2 linked regions of the Coturnix japonica genome follow. The protein of the gene in region 2 interacts with the protein of the main gene of each other region in a pairwise test. Links are inferred from orthologs where the notes say so. Each region holds a gene or a part of one and is shown on either strand. Other genes may lie near its edges.

Region 1 (10,220 bases), on a different chromosome or scaffold from region 2:
TAAAACAGTACTGAATTATTTGCATTTAAACAGTAATTTCAACTGTGGTATACTTACTATTGGAACAATATAGCAACTCTCACACAAGTCTAAGTAAATTAAATTTTAGATAAATCTTTGTGCTCACCACATTTTAGAGTCCACTACCTTTGTCCCAAAACCAGCATCGATCCCACTATAGGTAAACTGGTGTTCAATTAGAGACACACATTTGTTGGCAGTCAGTAGCTTTGAGGTGTGCATTTTCAGTACATCATCTCTACAAAGCAGTAGGCTGAGTTAAGAATAAAACTTGATCTATGCTAGGTATTGGCACCGTAAGGCATTATTTTAATAATAAAAGAGAAGCTAGCATACCAAAACATGATATACTCCAAAAATGCTTTTGAAGCCCAACTGCATAAACCACTTAGTCATGCTTAACACACAAGCCAAGTGTTCAACTGCTCTGTTGAGCTAAATCAAGTATGCACTTGGAAACAGACAGCCAAGGAAACTACAATAATATGAACTGCATAAGGAATGTGAACAAGAGGGATTGAACAATCAGTACCTAAAGAAAGGACTAGCTTTAAGGGAGAGCCAATCAAGAGACTTCTTCACAGAATTCAGCTGAGATGCCAGACTACATCCCGCAGTTATGTTCTTCTTATTTCATGACACCAAATTCAAAAAAGCAACACAGAAGCAGAAGGTGGCATGTTTCTCAAGAAATTCATAGCTGGATGCTAGAAGTTGACATGATGCATTTGCTTATTCACCAAACACCACACCAAATGTGGTGCAAATCCTGTCACAGACAGGAGGTTAAAGTGAAAAAGGAAAACTGCTCTTACATTCTAATGAAAGAAACAGGGAGTATAAAATGGAACAACTTCACATTATTTTTCCTCTTGCTCCACTGATCAAAACCGTCACCATATTTGGCTGGACACTGCAATGGACTTAGCTAGACCAAAATATTACACCAATTAAGAAGGCCACCCAAATGCCTCTTGTAGAAAACACTTATGTTTTTCATCTGTAAAGTGCTTCTATTCTGTTGAACAAGCACACCTTATTTGGAATCCCTGAACCACAGAATAAATTCACAGCAATTATAAAGCTACTAAAGGTCCTTCAATATGACAGTCCTAAGTAAGATCAGTACAGTTATTGCCATTAACAGCTGTTAGAGTGAGCTGAGATGGATGTTTCTTCTAATGCCTTAGAACAGATCATAGTGGAGAAGTAATAAATTAACTGACAATAGGCACATAAAAAAAGGATATCTGTGAGGATGTTAATTGCCTTGACCATTCTTTCACACTTTTTCTTCACTAACAGCTCTTCCACAGTCTGTTCTGGCATCTGAAGATGATCAAGAAGAACAGGCAGCAAAAGATCCACAAAGTGTTCAGCTGAGGCACTGTTCCCGCTACTAATGACATCCTGTAATAAACAAATTTTATGTCAATATTTAGAACTACAGAATAAGGAAGACAAGCCTACTCTACTTCTTGCATTCAGCTTGTATTCAAGCTTTCCCAGGGCAATTCAGGTTTAAGACATATGATCAGTAACATACTGGAGAAGCAAGTATAACAAATAACACTGAAAAAGCAGAAACACACTTCTATAAGTCCTTGAAAACAAGTATTAAATAGTTTTGTGTCTGCTTCACGAACGGCCAACATAATTTTCAGAAAAAAGATATATTTATAATACAGTCTTCAAAATACATTTTTAATGTGTTTAAAAACAGATGTTTGACAAATTATGGAATTTTAAAAATGTTTCTGGTATATTTTTTACATCCTACTTTTCAGGTAAAACACTAATAAAAGTTTAAAAATCAATCAAAGCAAAAATACAGCACCTCAGAAGTACTTTAAACTCAATCATTAGCATTCGTACCTCAAAAACCTCTTTGAATAGCTGCAGTGCTAGAACTGAACAGTCTTCAGAGCCTTCCAATGGTTGGTTTGACAAATGCACCAATGAAACAGATGGTTCAAAAGTCTTTGAGCGAGTCACAAATCTGGTATTTCCAGAGACTGGCAAGACAGATGGTTCCAGTATTGCCTGTCGCAGGGTATGACGCAGTTCTACCACAGAACAGAAGGCAAGCAGCAGTTCTAAGATCTGTATGAAGTGAATGAAAGAGTTCAAATACTTTTAAACCAATTACTCATACAGAAATTGCAACTCCATAGCACAAATCTAAAGGGATATCTAAGTTATAAACAATTGCTCTTGACATTTTAAAATTCTGTGAAGGATATTTTTCTTTCTTTAAAGTCAAGTCAGCAGCAGAAACACAGTCCATTAGGCCACTGATCAAAAATAAAAAAGAAAAAGGACCAACTGCTCTCTAATAACCTATCAGCTGCAGAAATGCTATTCTGAGATACGGAAAGATAGCCATGAGATGAAGATGAAAGACCCCTCGAAAGCTCCAAGCTCTGTGTCAACTCATTTCTAAATTATAACCAACAGACAACAACAACAACAAAAAAAACCACACACATGGAAACATTAGCTTTCATCATTTACCATGAAGCAAAATGCTTTCATTAGAAAAGTTTAAGATTGTTTAGTCAACATAGATCTTTGAAACATTTTCCGGGCAAGTCCTATTTTAGCATTTAGCACCACGTAGCTGATATTTCAATTACGTAGGGTGGCAGTGAGACAAAGTTGAATGCAGCAGTGAACTGCTTAACCCAACGTGGCATCAAATTGTTCAAATACTGTGGAAGAATGTATTTCTAAGTTTTTAGAACTACCAGGAAACAAACACCAAGCAAAAATTCAAACATATTGTCTTTTGAAAAATTAGACCTAAGCTGATAAACACTGTATGGTCAATAAAGAGTCTTTATATCAGTTTACTTCATTATCAGCCCTCACACACAAGGCATCTACTTATGGCTACAGATGTGGAACTATATTATGAGTTGCATCCTCTTGCTCTTCTGATGAAGAAGTACCTTAGATGATGAATCTGGATCCTTTCCATGAAGGAGATCTAATACCTGACCAAGGCATGAGGTGAAGTGCTCATATCTACAGCACACATGGAAGGAAAGATGGAAAAAAATAGTTTAGAATTTGGTATCAATCTCTAACAGCATTCAAGTAATGAATACCTGTGTCCAGTTTCCTTTTTACCCCCCAACGCTTCAAATAGAGTAATACTTCTGATGGTGTAATTTCAGTGCCATATGAGGTAAATTTTAAAAATATTTTCAGAATTAGAACAAGTATTTTTACTGCTAGAGATCTGGACTGAAGTTTAGCAACTAAGTTCTATTAGTTGAATGTGCAGAACCAGTAGACAAGCATTTTGCATAACTCCGTGGTGACCTGCAGGAAAGTTATTATAACTTTGACAACACTACTGCACTTCAAAATACTGCAGGACTACAAAAAAATACCATGATAGCTATTTCATCAGATTGTCTGACCACCAATACTGAGAATTACTGAACACAATCATTAAGCATTTCTTAAGCAGCAATTACAGAACAGGTTTTGATGTATGGTTCTGTGTAAAACAGGTAACACAAGAATCCTTTAGCTTCAGATACAGCAGTTAATCATGTAGTAACACTCAAGAAGCAGCTGTGAATTTTAATGAAGCCGTACCTGGTAAGATAATCTGCAACTTTGGGGTTTTTCAGGAGATCCATAAGTAGATCAACAGAATATTTTCTTGTTAGAGTACCATCTCCATTTACAACAATATTGAATATTAACTGAAAAGTCTGATGGATATTCCGTGCATGAAAGAGCTGAAAGGAAAAATAAAATTACACATGCAAACGTGTTTTGCTTGCTCAGGTCTCTTGCACATTAAAATTAGCTACAATTATTTTGTGAGTGTGGTCAATAGATTTATTGACAACTTGAAAATAAAAGTGATTTCAAAATATCACTTACTTTTTCTCCTACTTCTTCATTTAAAGTAAGGCTTGATAATATTGAAAGTGCAAATACAACCATAGTCAAACTGCTGTGAGCCAGGAAACTTATTAAGGCACGATAGAAACTCTTCACGTTATTCTAAAATGCAGAGAAGCACAGGTATTACAAATTTTATTTTGTTCTGTAAGAGCACCAAACTTACATATTGCAAATATGTATAAACAAGAGATACAAATAATGAATAATAATAACACAATTCCTTTTTTTCCTCTGCAATTCTTCCAAGGTAAGTAGTACAACATTTGCCATCATGCAGATGAATTTATATTCCTCCACTGAGGAAATAAGCTGTTTGCACTGATGGATGAACAGACAGACTGTGTAGATCAGATATGGATGTGTACTCGAAGATTCAAAGGTCCTGACCTGACATCAAGATCAGTGGTATTTTATGGATTTATCTTTTGAAGAAGCAAATCTCTTTACAGGCCAAAGTTACTGCAGCTTGGAAAAATATATATATATACTACAACGTTTAATTCTTCTAAGGAACAGATATTCAAACTTCAGGTTCACCTTTCACTTGTAGAGAACAGCAGCAGTAACTGAATGCATAATACAAGCCTGTGCAACAACACAGCAACAAGAGAAAACACACAGCTTTCAGTTCTGCTGATTTTTTTCCTTAACATGAGAGAAATATCCACTATCGTTTGACAAAACACTGTACAACAAGGACAGGATTATTACTGCTGCTGCAAAAAAAAAGCTCAAGTAAGTAACTCACTCTTACCCCTACGTCAGAGAGAAACAAAACACTTACCAAAGATTTTATCTGAGTTTGAATAGGTAAGTTGTGACGACAGAGATTTGCCAGAAGTCCTAAACACGGTATTGTTAGCTCATCTTCTGTAGATTGACTTAATAGAGAAAACCAGAGGTTTAAACAAAGATGTTTTCATTTATAGCAGATGCCTTTAATAGTCATTAGACTTGTGCACAATTTGTATTATTCTAGAGAAAACATGCTTACAGTGACAGGGATGATTTTTTTTCCTGGCATTTGTCTTTGTTAGCTCCCCTCCCTGGGGGTGGGCTAAGAAGCCTATTAATATTCAGACACCTACAGTAGCACAGCCACCACATTAATAACCTTTAACAACATGTTTTTCAGAAACATCTCTGGTAACTTCAGAGCAAAAATATCACAGCACCCTCTGCAGACCACGTTAGTGCAATAGGCTCATGGGCTTCAGAAAGGTTAGAAACCTAGCCAGGTATTTCCCATGAGCAAAGATAAGTGAACACAAACTTACACGTGATGCATTAGAAATGAAATCAGCTCATCGATGTTGGCACCAGCGCAAAAGACTGGAACGTTGTAGGTCAGCCTCTGCAGCAACTGAATACTCTGAGGAAATAAAAAGCTATTCACATGCCTTTCCTACAGCATCTCACTGAAGAATGTTAAGTACATAAGGTATTTTCTTGCAGCTGAAGCTGAATAGAGAGATAAAGCACGACAAATTGATTCATTTTCCAGTTGTGATGTTAACATCACAATTAGGCAAGCTGCTGTAAGCACATTGAGTAACATCCTACCACACTGATCTCCACGTACTTAGTAAAAGACCAAACATATTAGCAAGGTTTTATTTTGGCAGAGAGTCAACTTTAGCCCATCCAATTCTCCCCTTTTTCCTCATCAGTCAATTGTCCATTCCGCCAGTGAAAGACCTAGAAGTTTCACCAAAATCCAAAGTATTCTATAGTCTCTAGCAGGAAGTACGTTTATAGTAAAACAGGTGTGTTGTACCATAAGGACTGACAACAGATTTAATGATCTGCGTTGGCGTTGTGATAGGAATGCCACTTGCAACACCAGAGGCCCGGGTTCGAATCCCCCCTGTGGCGCAAGTGGTAGAAGTGTCACACTGCTACACAGGAGGCTCAAATCCCGGGGGTTGGACTTGATGATCTCTAAGGTCCCTTCCAACTCACACCAGACTGTGATACTGTGATAGTACTGTCTTTCATTCAGCATTCTTTTGTCATATAACTTATTTAAATGTGACACAAGTATATTCAGACATGATAAAAACCACAGCATAGCTAAGGATAGCAGCTGAAATCTCACTGTGTAGAATAGCTGACATAAGAGCTTAAGGGGCTTATAAATGGATTTACTTGGTGGCTAGAAAGTCTTCCCCCTTGACTGACAAGTCAAATGGGATTCTTAAAGCTTCTGGAACTTCTAATACTTTGAGAAGTATGCTAAACATCAGAAAAATATTCTATACTGCACTGGATGCTTGACTCATCTTCCCACCGATATTTTGTTTGCCTTACAAAGAAAAGAGATGTGACCACAAATGGCCAGCAAACACATACTGAGAACACAAAGCCACGTATGAGGAAAAAAGAAAGTCCAACTTTGTTGCTGAGCGCACAGAAATTATAGGTGCAAGTTGGTGAAATTGGACTGGGAGATGTTGCATATTCACTGAAAATAAATACAATGAAAAACAGAATGAAAAATAAGCTTCCAAGCCCTCAACTGGTAGTTTCACACAGTAGAAGCTTCTAGTTTAAAAATATTTCTCTTTTTTCTCTAAATGAATTAGAAGAGGTAAGAAGTACAAGCAATATTACAGACAGAATACACAGAACTCTGCAGTGCTAAAATCCTGTCATGCTAGATTCACACAGTAAATAAAACAACCAGCTTGTTTCAACTATTAAGCATTAGTTCCTGTTACCTGTAATAAGACTGGATCACTAAGATTAGTAGAACTTCGATGAACCACTCCTGCCAGCACATTGGTCAGACTGTAGGTGTCCCGAAGAGCTTCTCTTGTCTCATTGTCTGAAGCTAGAATTTAAGAATTATTGAAGAATAAACCACCAACCCACAATCCTCTGCAACAGCAAAACTAATTATTGTATTAGTGACTGATCTAAGCATAACCTAAAGCCTTTCATCAGTTTTCCACATATACTTCACTATTATAAATCACAGCTCCTACACACTTGAATCTCCACCTCAATTCTGAGCTCACAGTCTGTTGAAACACTAAGACTTTTCCTTGAGATGTTTGGACAATGACAAAGTTTCAACTACAAAGTTTCAACTTAATTTGAAATCTTGAGAAGCTTTAAAGCTCGAAATCAATGAACTTAGTTTCCTTCTGCATGCTAAGATAGGCAAGCAGACTAAAACTGATTGCTTGATAAGGTTATCTAGCAATAGTAATACAAAAAAAAACCTGTTCTGCTTAAACAGTCATGGAAAAGACACAGCAAACAAGGAAGAAAGATAAAACAATAGAACAATTGGAGGATAACTGATTCTTAAAGTTCTCCAAATCCAAAAGGTTGGATTACGAACCCCAACAACGTATTATTTTACAGTAATCATTTCAAAAATTTAAAAAAGAGAAGATAAACAACAAGTCATCCTAAGCAACTTGAATCTCAAAGAACCACCCACATCTACCAAGAAAGCCTAAGCTGAGAGATAAGAGAATTTTTTCCACGTACACATAACTTACATATGCAGTTATGGTGAGCACAGAGCTCCATAGATAAATGAAGAAGTCACACTTCTATGAAAGAAAATCAACCCCAACAAACAAATGAAAAGCTCTAGAATCTATTTTCAACCTGGGAGATTTGAAGCACATGGGTCTAGAGCAATTCTAATAAATACAAAACACTGTCGTTTCACAATAATGACTTCAAATCTGTTTTGAACAGTGGTTTAACACCTTATCTGATCTTGTATGCATTGTCTGGTGGGCCAGGCAAGCACTTCAAAAGCTATACATTTTTCATACTTCTGGTTTTTCCAAGAAGTTCATCACACATGCCACAGAATCAACATCTGTCTTCTCTTTCTCAGATCCAAGATTAATGTTATAGTGCAAACCTTACCCAGCTGTGATAGTAAAGTCACCAAAGACAATGTCAGAGAAGGATCTATATTCGCATCCTCAAGGAGTTCTACCAGGCAATTAAGACATTCACTTGGGAGAATCTGGTTGGAAGCAAATAATCTTGTAAGCTTCAGTCCTGAGATAACCTGGAGATAAAAGGAGAAAAAAAAACCTCAATTACTTAACTGCTACTGAGTATTCATTATACAAAGCGTATTTAATAGTACAAAGTGATATTACATAGATTTTTGCCAAATCTGACAGAATGAGAACATAACTGTCAATCTAGTACGACGCTCAGGTTTGTATTGTGTAAATTTAAACATAAAAAATAAACAAAAAACAAACTAGGTCCTACTCCTCTGTATGCATCTCTGGTACATACCTGTGGTACTCAGTTTGATTCAATAACCTGTTTTCTGAAGAACTGGACTGAAATACAAAGGTTTCATTCTGCTTGAAGATCAGTGGTAACAGATTGTGCTGTTTAGTGAGAATTCTACAATTACAATGAAAAATGGAACCTTGAGTTAAAGGAAAGCCCATTTAAGGGGATAGTAAAAGTGACAGACTTGCACAGCAACATAACTGGACTTTTGTTATATATGCATGATAGAACAATGTAATTTTTTTTCCCCCATATCCTCCCTGTACTTTTCTACAATAGATGAAGTTAATCACAGAATCACTGAGGCTGGAAAAGATTACAAATGGTAGATCCTGCTTGTTAAACCTGATTTCATTCTATGAAAAGGTGACCCGCTTAGTGGATGAGGGTAAGGCTGTTGACGTGGTCTTCCTGGACTTCAGTAAAGCCTTTGACACTGTCCCCCACAACATCCTCATGGAGAAGCTGGCTGCCAGAGTTTGGATGGGTGTTCGCTCTGCTAGGTGAAACACTGGCTGGATGGCCAGGCCCAGACAGTTGTGGTCAATGGAGTTAAATCCAGCTGGCTGTTGGTCACAAGTGGTGTCCCCAGTGCCTCAGTACTGCAGCCACTTCTATTTAACATCTTTATTAGTGATCTTGATGAGGAGATTGAATGCGCCCTCAGTAAGAATGCAGATTACACCAAGTTAGGAGGGAGTGTTGATCTGCTGGAGTGTAGAAAGGCACTACAGAGGGACCTGGATAGACTGAATCAGTGGGTCAAGGTAAACCATAAGAGTTTCAGTAGGGCCAAGTGTCAGATCCTGCATTTTGGTCACAGCAACCCCAGGCAACCCTGCAGGCTTGGGGGGGAGTGGCTGGAAAGCTGCCTGGAAGGAAGGGACCTTGACATACGGATGGACAGTCAGCTGAATATGAGCCAGCAGTGTGCCCAGGTGGCCAAGAAGGCCAGTAGCATCCTGGCTTGTATCAGGAATGGTGTGGTGAGCAGGACTAGGGAAGTCATCCTGCCCTTGTGCTCGGCTTTAGTGAGGTCCCACCCTGAATACTGTGTTTAGTTTTGGGTACCTCAATACAGAAGTGACATTGAGGTGCTGTAGCAGGTCCAAAGAAGGGCAACAAAGCTTGTGAAGAGCTTGGAGAATGTGCCATACAAGGAGCAACTGAAGGAACTGGGATTGCTTAGTCTGGGGAAAAGGAGGCTGAGGAGAAACCTTATTGCTCTCTTCAAATACATGAAAGATGATTGCAGTGAGAGTAGGGTGGGTCTCTTCTCACTGGTGACAGGACAAGGGGAAATAGCCTCAAGTTCTGCAAGGGTAAGTTCAGGCTGGATATCAGGAAAAACTTCTTTACAGAAAGGGTAGTTAAGCACTGGAATGGGCTCCCCAGGGAGGTGGTTGAGTCAGCACCTCTGAATGTGTTTAAAAACTATTTGGATGTGGTGTTCAGGGAACTGATTTAGTGGAGGGTTGTTAGAGTTCAGGAAAGATCTAAGCTGTTTCTCCCTCCTCCGCCCCGCAGGAGAGGACCCCAACAGGCGGTTTATCAGTCTCCACCCGCTGAGCCGAGGGGAAGGCCGCGGCCGAGAGGCTGAGCCGGCCGAACCCAAAGCAATTCCAGAGCACAGACCGACCGCCACGGAGCGGAGCCAGCCGCGGCCGGGCACTGAGGAGCGCCGAGAGGAGCCGCTCACACACCGACACACGAGAGAACGAACAACGCGCTCAACCCGTCTCTCCGACCAAGCCGCTCCGTTCTCACCTCCAGGTTACGCTGGACCAGAGCCACGTTGGACGGCGTCTTAGCAGCCCGGTACTGCGTGGCTGCCAGGAGCAGGGATTTCATGCAACCTGAAGCATCCATGACGCCCAGAAACGCTTCCTCAGAGGCTCGAGCAGCATATCCCGTTCGTACTTCCCGCCGCCGCCGCCATTTTGACGACACTGAACGGGAATGCCCGCCTACCCGCGGGGCACGACGGG
Region 2 (10,220 bases):
GAAGAAAATAAATTTATCTTAACAGCAGCAACTGAATTTAAACCTCCACATTTGTCTGTTTGTGTTCACTCATCTGTTCGGTGACTCCAGGCAACAACAGCAGGCACTTGTGACTGACAGCAGCATGCTGTCACTATGGTGTTGAAGGCCTGGAACAGAAACTCTTGCTGTCCTCTTTGTTTCACTTGTGTCCTGCCCATCTTGACAGCCCAGGCTCCTTGCATTGCAGGTGTCCACCTGAGCACTGTCAGCAGCTGTACAAGTCTTCAGAATGCTGAGCAAATAGCTGGAGAGCTGCTCACACTCAGTAGCCCACTGTACTGAGTCTGCCCTTCTGCTCAGCCCCCACGTCACAGTACTCACAGGACTTACGTGGCTCCTGGACAACTCTGAAGCTTAGCTATAAAATGTGAATAGTAGCGCTACCTTTCCACAGCAGCATCTTCTGAGGGCAGAGGAGAAAAAATAAAACAACTAAAAAAAATACCCTACTGGATACAAGGGTGACTGGCTGATCAAGAACAGGTCCAGCATCTGGAAACTAACAGCTTTGCTCTACCTCTGGTCCTGCCGCACACGCAGGGATCTCTGCCAGACACGCTGTAAAGCAGAGGTGGCTCAGTGTTTGTTGAACACATTCATTAGTATTTGGAATGGCAAAAACTTGAAATTTTTTATAGAATAATTTACTATACCCACTGTGACTACTAAAATTAATAAGCTGTTTTGTTTTAATCTAGTTTCTCTTTTGATATTTTTTCTTGGGGCAAAACCAAGAGGAAATACTATAAGTAAGTCCACTACTGGCATGACCATCCACAGCAACGGCATTCTTACCAAGTGGTGTTTTCCCTACAACACACAGACAAGGTGTGCTAAGCATCTCAAAGTACTTATACAATGCTGTCCCTAAACCAAATCATTAACAGCACTGGTAACCAAAGAGATTGTCCCTATGAATATTACTGTAACCTTATTTTAATCTCAGGACAAATTAGAACTGAAATTCAAAGCTTTTAATTTCTGCTGTGAGGATGAAAAAAAACCATAAATACAAATATATAAAAATGTACAAACTAAAAGCACAGAACTTTCTCAGTGCATTCGGGATCGCTTGACTCTGCTCATTTCTCCTGGCGCTTTTCTTTTCTGGGATAATCCAGTCCCAAGTTCTTTGCTGTTCTGGAAGCAAGACTGAGCTTCTGGCAGCCAGTAAGACTCCATTGGGGGAGGTGGATCCTTCAATAGAGGAAGGAGAAAAAAAGTTGCTTAGCTCAAGGAGGATCTTCTGGGAATAAAGAAATTGCTTAGTTGTTTTCTAGGATTAATCAAACGAACATTGCACATGCACATCTTGAATATTTTTTGCAAGCTCCCTGCTCTGGCAGAGGCTCCTCGTGACCTGCTGGAGGTGAGAGGCCTGCCCCATCCTGCCTGCACAGCACACACCTGGATGAGGAAGTCTGCTATGTACTCTGGCTTTAAGCAGTTCACTCCCTGGGCTGCCGCCTCTGCTACGTTCACCCTGGTGTCAGATGGCTTCAGCTTACTGAAGTCAGCAAAGAGATGAGTTGCTTCTTTGAAGAAAGACACAGAATGACCAGAAAACACCTACAGATTAAAACACGAGAGACAAAAACTATTAATTTTAGTGTTTCTTCCCTATGGAAGAAACATGCAGCTCATGACCTATAAATTCACACTCAACTATCAAACCAACACAAAATACTATTTACTGTGTATTCTGTACCATCTTTACCTTTCAAGATCCTCTCATCAGAGCAGGGCCCACAAATTCTGTGCTCAGCAGTCTGACAGTTTTGGCTAGGACCTACTGCTGGCATGGACAATACCCAGCACTGAGTTTAAGAAATTATACCAATGCCTTAAAAATTAACAACACTCAACAAAACAACAACAGAAGATAAGAAAAACCCAATAGTAATGGGTAACTTTTTTTTCCCCGGAGAGCTACATACTTTGGCTCCTCCTGACTGAAGAAGGCGTCGGAATCCTGCTTCCTTGGTGTGATCAACATTCAGGATCACTTTCCAGCCACTGAAAGCTCCCTAGATAAAAGACTCCATTTAGCCATAATGATGTTGACACTACAAAAGCACAGACTTCACAGACCCCTCACTTGCCTCCTTTGGGAGTAGCTATCAGACAAACATTTGCAGTCACCTGGTTTTGTCCTTCTACATTGTAAAAGGCAGAAAAAAAGCACAGTATAAAACTATCAGGCCTACTATCAGGTTACCTAACTAACTAGAAGATATCCAGCTAAGCCATTTTGTTCTTAGTAAGACAAATTCACTTTTCCTGACAGAGAAATTTCTGGGTTTCTCAGTGACAAATCCCATCTTGGCCATCCACACTGTACACATTATATCCAACACACATCTCAGTACCTCAGTAATTCCAGTTTCTTGCCTTCCTTTATGAATTTTTTTCCTCCACCTCATGGCTGCGAGCGCTAGCTTCTTCTGGTTTACATTGATTCCAGGCAAAACGTTAAGTATGGAATCACTTCCCCACTCATAATCTTCTTCCTAGAATAATCATAGGCATGAATTACAGAGAAGTCTTGTCAATTTTATTAGCAGAAAGATTAGTACTAAAAAAACACATCCAGAACAAATCACAAATCAGTCTAGATTTATGCATCTATTTTATCTGAGCAAAACAGCTCTTGATAAAGTTAGAGATATGTCTCTTAAATGCATGTAATTATGCCCATGCATAAAAACTCTCCACAGTTTTAAATCAACTCCTGTTTTCTGTAACAGTAATGCACATCATATACAATCAAGCTATTCTTGTGGTTATCAGCAGTGGAATTCAACAGTACTGCAAAGCCACTTCGGACATTTTTGAAGAGGGTGCTCAAAACGCACAGGTTTATGGGGTTGGAATCTTTAAAGCTTTGCTGATGTATAGAAAAATTAAGAGTTAATTCCTGGCGTACGAGATCTGTGACCTCAAGATGAATAACTAGTGAAAAATTAACAAGAGATATTCAAGCTTCAATTTCCAGAAACACCAATGAAGTACAGGTATTTCATTTGTCCTGTGCTAGGACAAGTTTGGTCAGGAACCTGTTTTCAGAGACGAGCTTGCCAAAAGTTCCTGAGATACCCTAAAAACCCCAAGGTTGCTTTTGAGAAGTTGTTTTCCAGTAAAATAAAAAGAGACATTAAAAAAAAGCGCAACATTCTAGTTCCTCAGTAACGAGGTTACATGCCTGAACAAAGCAGCCAGCTCCTCTACACGCCTCCAGGTAGGAACGATGAAGCACCCACTTTCCAGCTGCCATCGAGGCCAGGAATTTCTCATTTCGAAGAGGATGTCCCACAACAATGTGTGTGCAACTTGGATCAAAGCACTGTTTCTCAAGCACTATTCCACCTTGGAATTGAGGATTTAATATGATTCAAGTTATTTAGAGTTCAGGCTGTACCACAAAAAAGAAATCACACAAAGTGAGAATTATTTGAATTTAAAACAAAGAAAAAAAAAGAAAATCTCAGATTTACACTGAAAATATTTTTTAATTGATAAGGGAGAAGCTGGCAAGGAAAGAGGAGCTCTGGGAAAAGAAAACAAGTGGTAGTATAACAGAGACATGAATGGGAGACACCAGAAGACAGCAGACCCTAGACACTCCTGACAGTAAAGAATGGGGCTGTTGTGGAGACAGCTAAAAGAAACTGCCAGAATACAAAACCATTGCTGTTTTATAGCAAAGCTGATCACTCACATAATAATAATATATTCAAGGAATTGCTTGCAAGCACAGAAAACCATAAATCTGAGAGCTCCAATCTGACAATTCATTAACAGAAGCCCTTTCTTTTCCCAGAGAGCTACAGCTGACCAGCTTATAACACACACTATGCCATGCATTTCACAAATATCTGGTACCTAATTCCTCAATCAGATGGCAGTAGTCAAATCTTTCTTGAGGATTAAGAGAAGACAGCTGAAATTTACGGCATTTTTCTGGTTCTTCATCTACCTTCTCATTTTCTGTAGCAGCCTGAAAATACAGCAACAGATTTTGGAAATATTACAGAAAGATTAGTTTGACAGCTGATTATTTCCCTGTGAGCAATTCTGGGTTATTTTTATGTTAAGTTTTCTTTTAGCATGGAAAAGAAGAACCAAATCTGTCAATCACTTGACAAAAGCTGGATCTTATCAAATCAGCATTAAATTCCTGCTTAACATCCTCTCGGTTCCCCCCTTTTTTTAGGGCAGAAGTGAACAAATCTGTCATAAAAACTAATCCATATTCACTGAATGCCAAGCTGAACACATGAAATAACCATCATCCCTCTATCACACTACCTCATCCATTCAGGCTTTCTTTAACTCCCAAGGCCCACTATATATTTCCACCACAGCTTATTCAGTAACATGACACTGCAGCCCTCTGAAGAGACACAGTCGGTGCTGGAAGTTGGAACATCAAATGAGACAATGAAGGCAAAAACCTAAACTCATCTTCCTAGTTGCTTTCAAGTTCACTATATGTTAAATTTCTGAACCAGATTTTTGTCCAGAACAAAAATATTCAGTTGGTATTTAAGCCTAAATTCCAAACACCATCTGCAAAATACAGGTATAACTTTTTTTCTATCATCCTAACGTGGCTTGAGTTCCCCCTCCTGCTTATAAGCACCCATAAAGTAGTAGAAGGCTGCAAGGAGGTCTCCCTGGAGCCTTCTCTTCTCCAGGCTAAACAAGACCAGCTACTTCAGCCTATCTTCATAAGAGAGGTGCTTCAGACCTCTGATCGCCTTCATGGCCTCCTTAGGACCTGCTCTGACACTTCCATGTCTTTTCTGTGCAGGGGGCCCCAGGTCTATACGAAATACTCCAGACGGGGCCTCAGAAGGGCAGAGAGGAACAATCATCTCCCTCGTCCTTCTGGCCACCAGGATACAGATGGTATCCCAGGCTGCAAGCACACACTGCTAGCTCACGTACAGCTTTTCATCCACCAGGATCCCCAACTCCTTCTCCATAGGGCTCTTCTCAGCTCATTTCACGTGGATGCTGTTGCCACTGCTGAAATGCACCATCCACTAACTCACTGTGCTCACATCCACTGTTTGGTCTCCATAAACATTCAGTAAGCAGTGCTGAATGTCAATGGGTGCCATTTTTTCCACATGGAGGAATTTAATGCCCCACTTTCTCTTCAGATGCACTTGCATGTCAGACACCGTTTTGCCAGACCGCCCCCCTGCTGCCATCTGTCACACAGCAACAACATGTAATGAAATACTATTGAAAACATTTAATCCCTACTGCCATACCACTGACATCTGCCTCTCATGGGCGAACACAATAACACAGGAGGCATTACTTTCAGAGCAGCCCTTAAAGTATAGCTACACTTTTAGAACACATACAATCATGAGCATTTCTTCAAATGTCAAACCTTTTCTTTGGGCTGCGGTGCCACAGGAGGGTTAGCCAGTGGGAATGCAATGCTGGGAGCCTGCGGAGTGGGGATCAAGTGATCTTTAATGGGTGTTTCAGGATCTCTACATACAGGATTCTTCAAATCTTCAATCGTATCTCCATCCCCAGCCTCAGGAACAACTGAGGAAGTAAAACACTGTTACAGGATTTGTCCTTAGACAAATATAATTATGGACAAAGTACAAAAGTAGTTATCCTAAATAGCTGCTACAACATGCACAGTTAACATGTCAATATTGCCCTTCTTAAAAGGTGCTCTTCCTTATACCACAGACCACTGACTGAACCTTGCAGGCCATCTCCCTGGATGCCCTGTTTTGAAAAGCAGAAAAACCTCAAATGACCTGATTTCTTTTGCTAAATGCACTTACGCAGTTAAACAAAACAAAACAAACAAAATCAACTGAACTTATTTAGCTAATTTTCTTCCTAGCAGAAGATTAAGACTTCATAAATAATAGGGAAGATGAACATAGTATTTTGACTAAATCATAATGGAAACAAATTCATAAGTAGCTCTCAGATACTATTTTTGGCGCTCACAAGTATCTTCTTCCTGCTCCTTCATTCTTTACCTACTAACATTAAAAAAATTCTGCTACTAGCATTCCAATTTGAATTCCACTGTATCTACGTGACCTGTCTGCTTTGGTGTTTGACCACAGATGAAATCCCAACACTGTTCACTCTTTAAGTATGTCTGAAGTAAAATCTAAGCATCACCGTATTTTAAAATCTCCAAGGATAAACCCGATGTTGTAAGAAAAATGGTATTTCATTTCTGACTTTATTTTACCTATACCAGCAATCTCTGCATCAGGTATAGATCCTTTGAAGGTAGACTCATCCATGTTCCTGTTGACATTACTCTGAGCTTGCTCTGTGAAGGAAGGACTGTTAGGCCACTGAAAGTTGCTAACAAGTCTCGCTCTCTCCTCCCTCGCTGTAGGATCATCCCAGATGATCTGCTCACTCTGGGATGGCTCCGTGTTGATATCTGTGAGAGCCTGACGAGATTGCCTGAGAGAAAAAGCAGAGATACCTTAAATACTCCTTTGTTTTACAGAAGACTACCATACTAGAAGGTAACATTTTAAAAATCACATCAACCATAACATCCAAGTGACGTTATTAGAAAGCGTGTCCAGAAAAGTGGAAGCCTTCAGTATGAAAGCAACTTTGGCAATCTGCCTTTGTGGGTTTAAGGGTCAGCATGGCTGAAAAAAGGCAACCATAACATTAAGTAGGAGATATTTTCACCACTTGTCATGCTGATGAATTATTTCATAATCAGTGCACTCTACCCTTTACTGAACCTTTTAATTTGAAGACAAACACCCAACTAAAGGAATGACTTTGAAAGATTTTGATTACATTCTCACTGGAGCAACTCAGCACTGCTGGAACTAAAATCCTATTCACCATGATTACACAGAGAGAAATGAAGAAATGATAAATATTCACCAAGAACTTCATAGGAACAACTACTATTTGTATGTGACCAAGGTACTGAAATATTGCAGCACTGTTTTCTTCAAATATCTCTAACAACACTAACTAATCCGAAGACAAATTAGTTGGTTAGCACAATTCATTTCAAATTTAAAATACAATTCTATTCTACTATTTTTTGAAAAGCAAATATACTCATTTATACATAACTGTAGGATTAAGATTATACTCTGATTTTATCTAGCAGGTCTTGTTAAAGATTCTGAATTACAAGCAAATGAAGTATATCAGAACAGAAAGACAATACAACTGAAAACCCTGGAGATCTACTCATGTTTCAGTGATTGTCTGAGTAGAGAGGGTAAGACAAGATACACTGAAAACTGATACCTTAGAGCTTCCAAGGCCCTGCTGCGGCCATTTCGCACAGACCGGGCACTATCAGGAGTGGCTGGAGAACTATCAAAACTGTTCCTTGAAAGAGATCCTCTTTGTCCTTGTGGTTTCACTATTGATGTCGCAGACATGATCTCCTGCAGCTGCCTCTGGAAGCTCTCCCTCATTTCTAGTGCCTGGGTTAAAACTTCAAGAGAATAAACAAAGTCCACAAGATCAAGATTACTATAATAGGTGAAAAGTACAGCCATTAAAGTTAATTTCCCTCCCCTGTATCAGGGAGGAAGATTATCTAATCAAACAGGGAAAGACTATCTATGAGAATGAAGTATGACTGAAATCACCCATTTCTTGTCATAAGCAGGAATTCCCATTTGGATCACTTCTGAAATTGTACACACGATCTACCTTATATTCCACAACTCTCCTGTAACACACTTCTTTACATAACACAAAAATGTATACAATACTGATATTCTGTGCTAGAAATCAAACTTTGGTGTTTAAAAATAATAAAAAGAAATAGCAACTAAGTAATTTGTAATGGATTAGCCTAGTTTTGTAATAGACTGGCAAGATCTTTAAACTAGAGAGCAAAACCTCTCCCTCATACTGAGCAACAGCAACTAGCTGTATTTGACTGGTAAATAAATAACAGTACCTAAAGCTTTCACATCTTAACATTCAGCACCTGAAACTGTAGAAGACTTACACAGGCAGTTTGACATTATGTGACTATTCTGAGAACAGGAATTTATATTTACCTCCCTTGGATTCACTTGTTCCAGCGTGCTCCTCCCCTGTGCCAACTGTTTCCTTCACTTGGTCAGTAGTTAAATCATCTGCAGCATCATCTTCATCCACTGGAATAATCTAAAGCCGACAAAGACACGTAGAATACCACTTTGTTTATTTTTACCTTTGTTCAACGCTTGTGAAAATTCTGATGAAGAATAATCTCGCTTTAGAATAAATTAATCTTTATGCCACCACAATGACAGTAAAACAATGAACAATAGCATTAATGACAACACCTACTCTGCAGTCTATAGGTCTACTAAGTAAAGCTTGGATCTCTTGTTCACTTAAACAAGAAGGTAAAGAATGGGCTATGCTATTTCAGATGTGGAAAGCACTTCTAATCCTGAAATGTCTGTGTCTGCCTCTATTGTCCTAGAAGAGGATTACAAATGCAAGAAAAGCATGAAAGAGTATCTGCAATAGCTACTGTTAATTACTAGTGAAATCTGCTTCAGAGTATCACTGAATAAAGAAACAATTTCACTTATTACATTAAACATAACAGCCATGTGAACTGAATTCCCATGATGTCATAGAACATGAATTTCTATCACACACTATACCTCATTTTCTTCTGCTGGATTTCCAGTTGCTGGAAGCTTACTGGAAGAGGAGGGCCTGAAATCTTGCACCGCACTGATGTCCAGGCTCATTTTGGGATTGTAAGTGTGAGGAAAGAGAGATTCAGGAAGCTGTTTATATTCTTGGGCACACTGTAACAATATTAGTTAATATAAGAAAGATGAGAAACTGGATGAAAATTAATACAAGTTCCATATCTAAGCATATGAAAACGATCACAGAAAGATGTAGTTTACACAAGAGAAAAGTGCAGCTCTCATTCTGGGAAACATGTAGCAGAACTGCTGAATGAAAGAGAATTTCTTTTTGCCTTACAGAGTACAAGGTAAATGCATGCTAGTGAAATTTGTTCAACTCCTACGTTCAAAGCAGAATATAAAACATCAATTCCTATGTTCAATGTAAATTCCAACAGAAAATCAACTGCTATCTAATGAGTTTTAAGCTTTCTTTTCTGTTCATCTCTAGTATGAAGAGAAGAAAAAAACCAAGCTTCATACCTGTAAAAGCCAGTGTTCTGAAACAATATGTATTCCTCGTTCTTTAACAGATCTATATTCCTTGTTGCTGTCATTTTGTCCTCCCTTGTAGATGAAGTGTGTTACTGTTTCATCAAAACACCATCTAGAAAATAAAATGAAATACAACTTGAGGATATAATTATCTATCAAAAAGAATCAGCAGCTGATCCTAGAAATAATACCTACACTCTGATGAAGAAAGTGGGCTCATTATTTATTTAGTCATAACAAAAGACAGACAGCTTTCAGCTTCAGGACAGAATGCTTTCAATCTCTTTAAAAGCATTCCTGAAGTAAACAAGACTTAGTCTGACAAAGGTGTAAAGGAGAGTTAGGGATTTTGATTTGCTGTTACTTTTTGTTTTATCCAAGTAAATGAAGTTCCAAATCAGATCCTAAAAATAAGTGTGACAAGTTTATTATATGTTTTTCTTTTACTGACGTATTCTGATAAAAATACATAAACTAATAAAAATTAACATTTGTTATCTAAAGGAAATAGTCTGTAGTTCCTCTCAGTAACAGAAGCTGAAAAGAATAGGTTGTAATCACAAAACATAGTCACATTCACTACTTAAACATAAATCATTTAAGACAGTAAAACCTGAAGTTCAGCTACAGCAGAAGGTCCCCATAGATGAGGGTACTAAAATGCTAACATTCATATTTATTTCAGTTCCCATCAGGGCAGAAGCTTCAAAGTTTTCTTTTTTTTGTCTGATACCTGTAGTCTGCACCAAGAGAAGCTGCCACAGCGTTCAGTTCACTTTGCTTCTTACTAAGTTTTTTACTAACACATATAACAACACCAGCTAGAGGCTTGGACTCTTCTTCCTATTCAAGTAGGTGAAGAAAAAAAATCATGTTTAGAAAGCTTTTGTATGACTTACAGTAATATTTAAGTATTTAGTGTATTATGTGATCATATTTGTAATAACAGGAAAAGGAAAACTTTTTTTTTTCTGCTTTTGATAT

What was found. The genes of interacting proteins can lie anywhere in the genome.
Region 1: the proteins of TOPBP1 (region 2) and CIP2A interact in a two-hybrid assay, tested with the Homo sapiens proteins (2 studies listed by BioGRID). The link is inferred for Coturnix japonica from reciprocal best matches to the Homo sapiens genes TOPBP1 and CIP2A.

Annotation. Positions count from the first base shown.
Region 1 is NC_029516.1:78,515,125-78,525,344, forward strand, and holds the start of CIP2A (protein CIP2A), read right to left. Parts: upstream 10,208-10,220; 5' UTR 10,102-10,207; coding exon 10,000-10,101; intron 7,991-9,999; coding exon 7,843-7,990; intron 6,782-7,842; coding exon 6,669-6,781; intron 5,321-6,668; coding exon 5,226-5,320; intron 4,830-5,225; coding exon 4,733-4,829; intron 4,048-4,732; coding exon 3,925-4,047; intron 3,777-3,924; coding exon 3,631-3,776; intron 3,049-3,630; coding exon 2,973-3,048; intron 2,125-2,972; coding exon 1,897-2,124; intron 1,432-1,896; coding exon 1,272-1,431; intron 270-1,271; coding exon 128-269; intron 1-127.
Region 2 is NC_029517.1:39,219,218-39,229,437, forward strand, and holds the end of TOPBP1 (DNA topoisomerase 2-binding protein 1), read right to left. Parts: intron 10,080-10,220; coding exon 9,970-10,079; intron 9,349-9,969; coding exon 9,225-9,348; intron 8,856-9,224; coding exon 8,706-8,855; intron 8,215-8,705; coding exon 8,106-8,214; intron 7,529-8,105; coding exon 7,336-7,528; intron 6,514-7,335; coding exon 6,290-6,513; intron 5,614-6,289; coding exon 5,450-5,613; intron 4,040-5,449; coding exon 3,925-4,039; intron 3,409-3,924; coding exon 3,245-3,408; intron 2,553-3,244; coding exon 2,412-2,552; intron 2,070-2,411; coding exon 1,980-2,069; intron 1,612-1,979; coding exon 1,450-1,611; intron 1,240-1,449; coding exon 1,096-1,239; 3' UTR 999-1,095; downstream 1-998. UniProt on the Homo sapiens protein: Scaffold protein that acts as a key protein-protein adapter in DNA replication and DNA repair. Composed of multiple BRCT domains, which specifically recognize and bind phosphorylated proteins, bringing proteins together into functional combinations.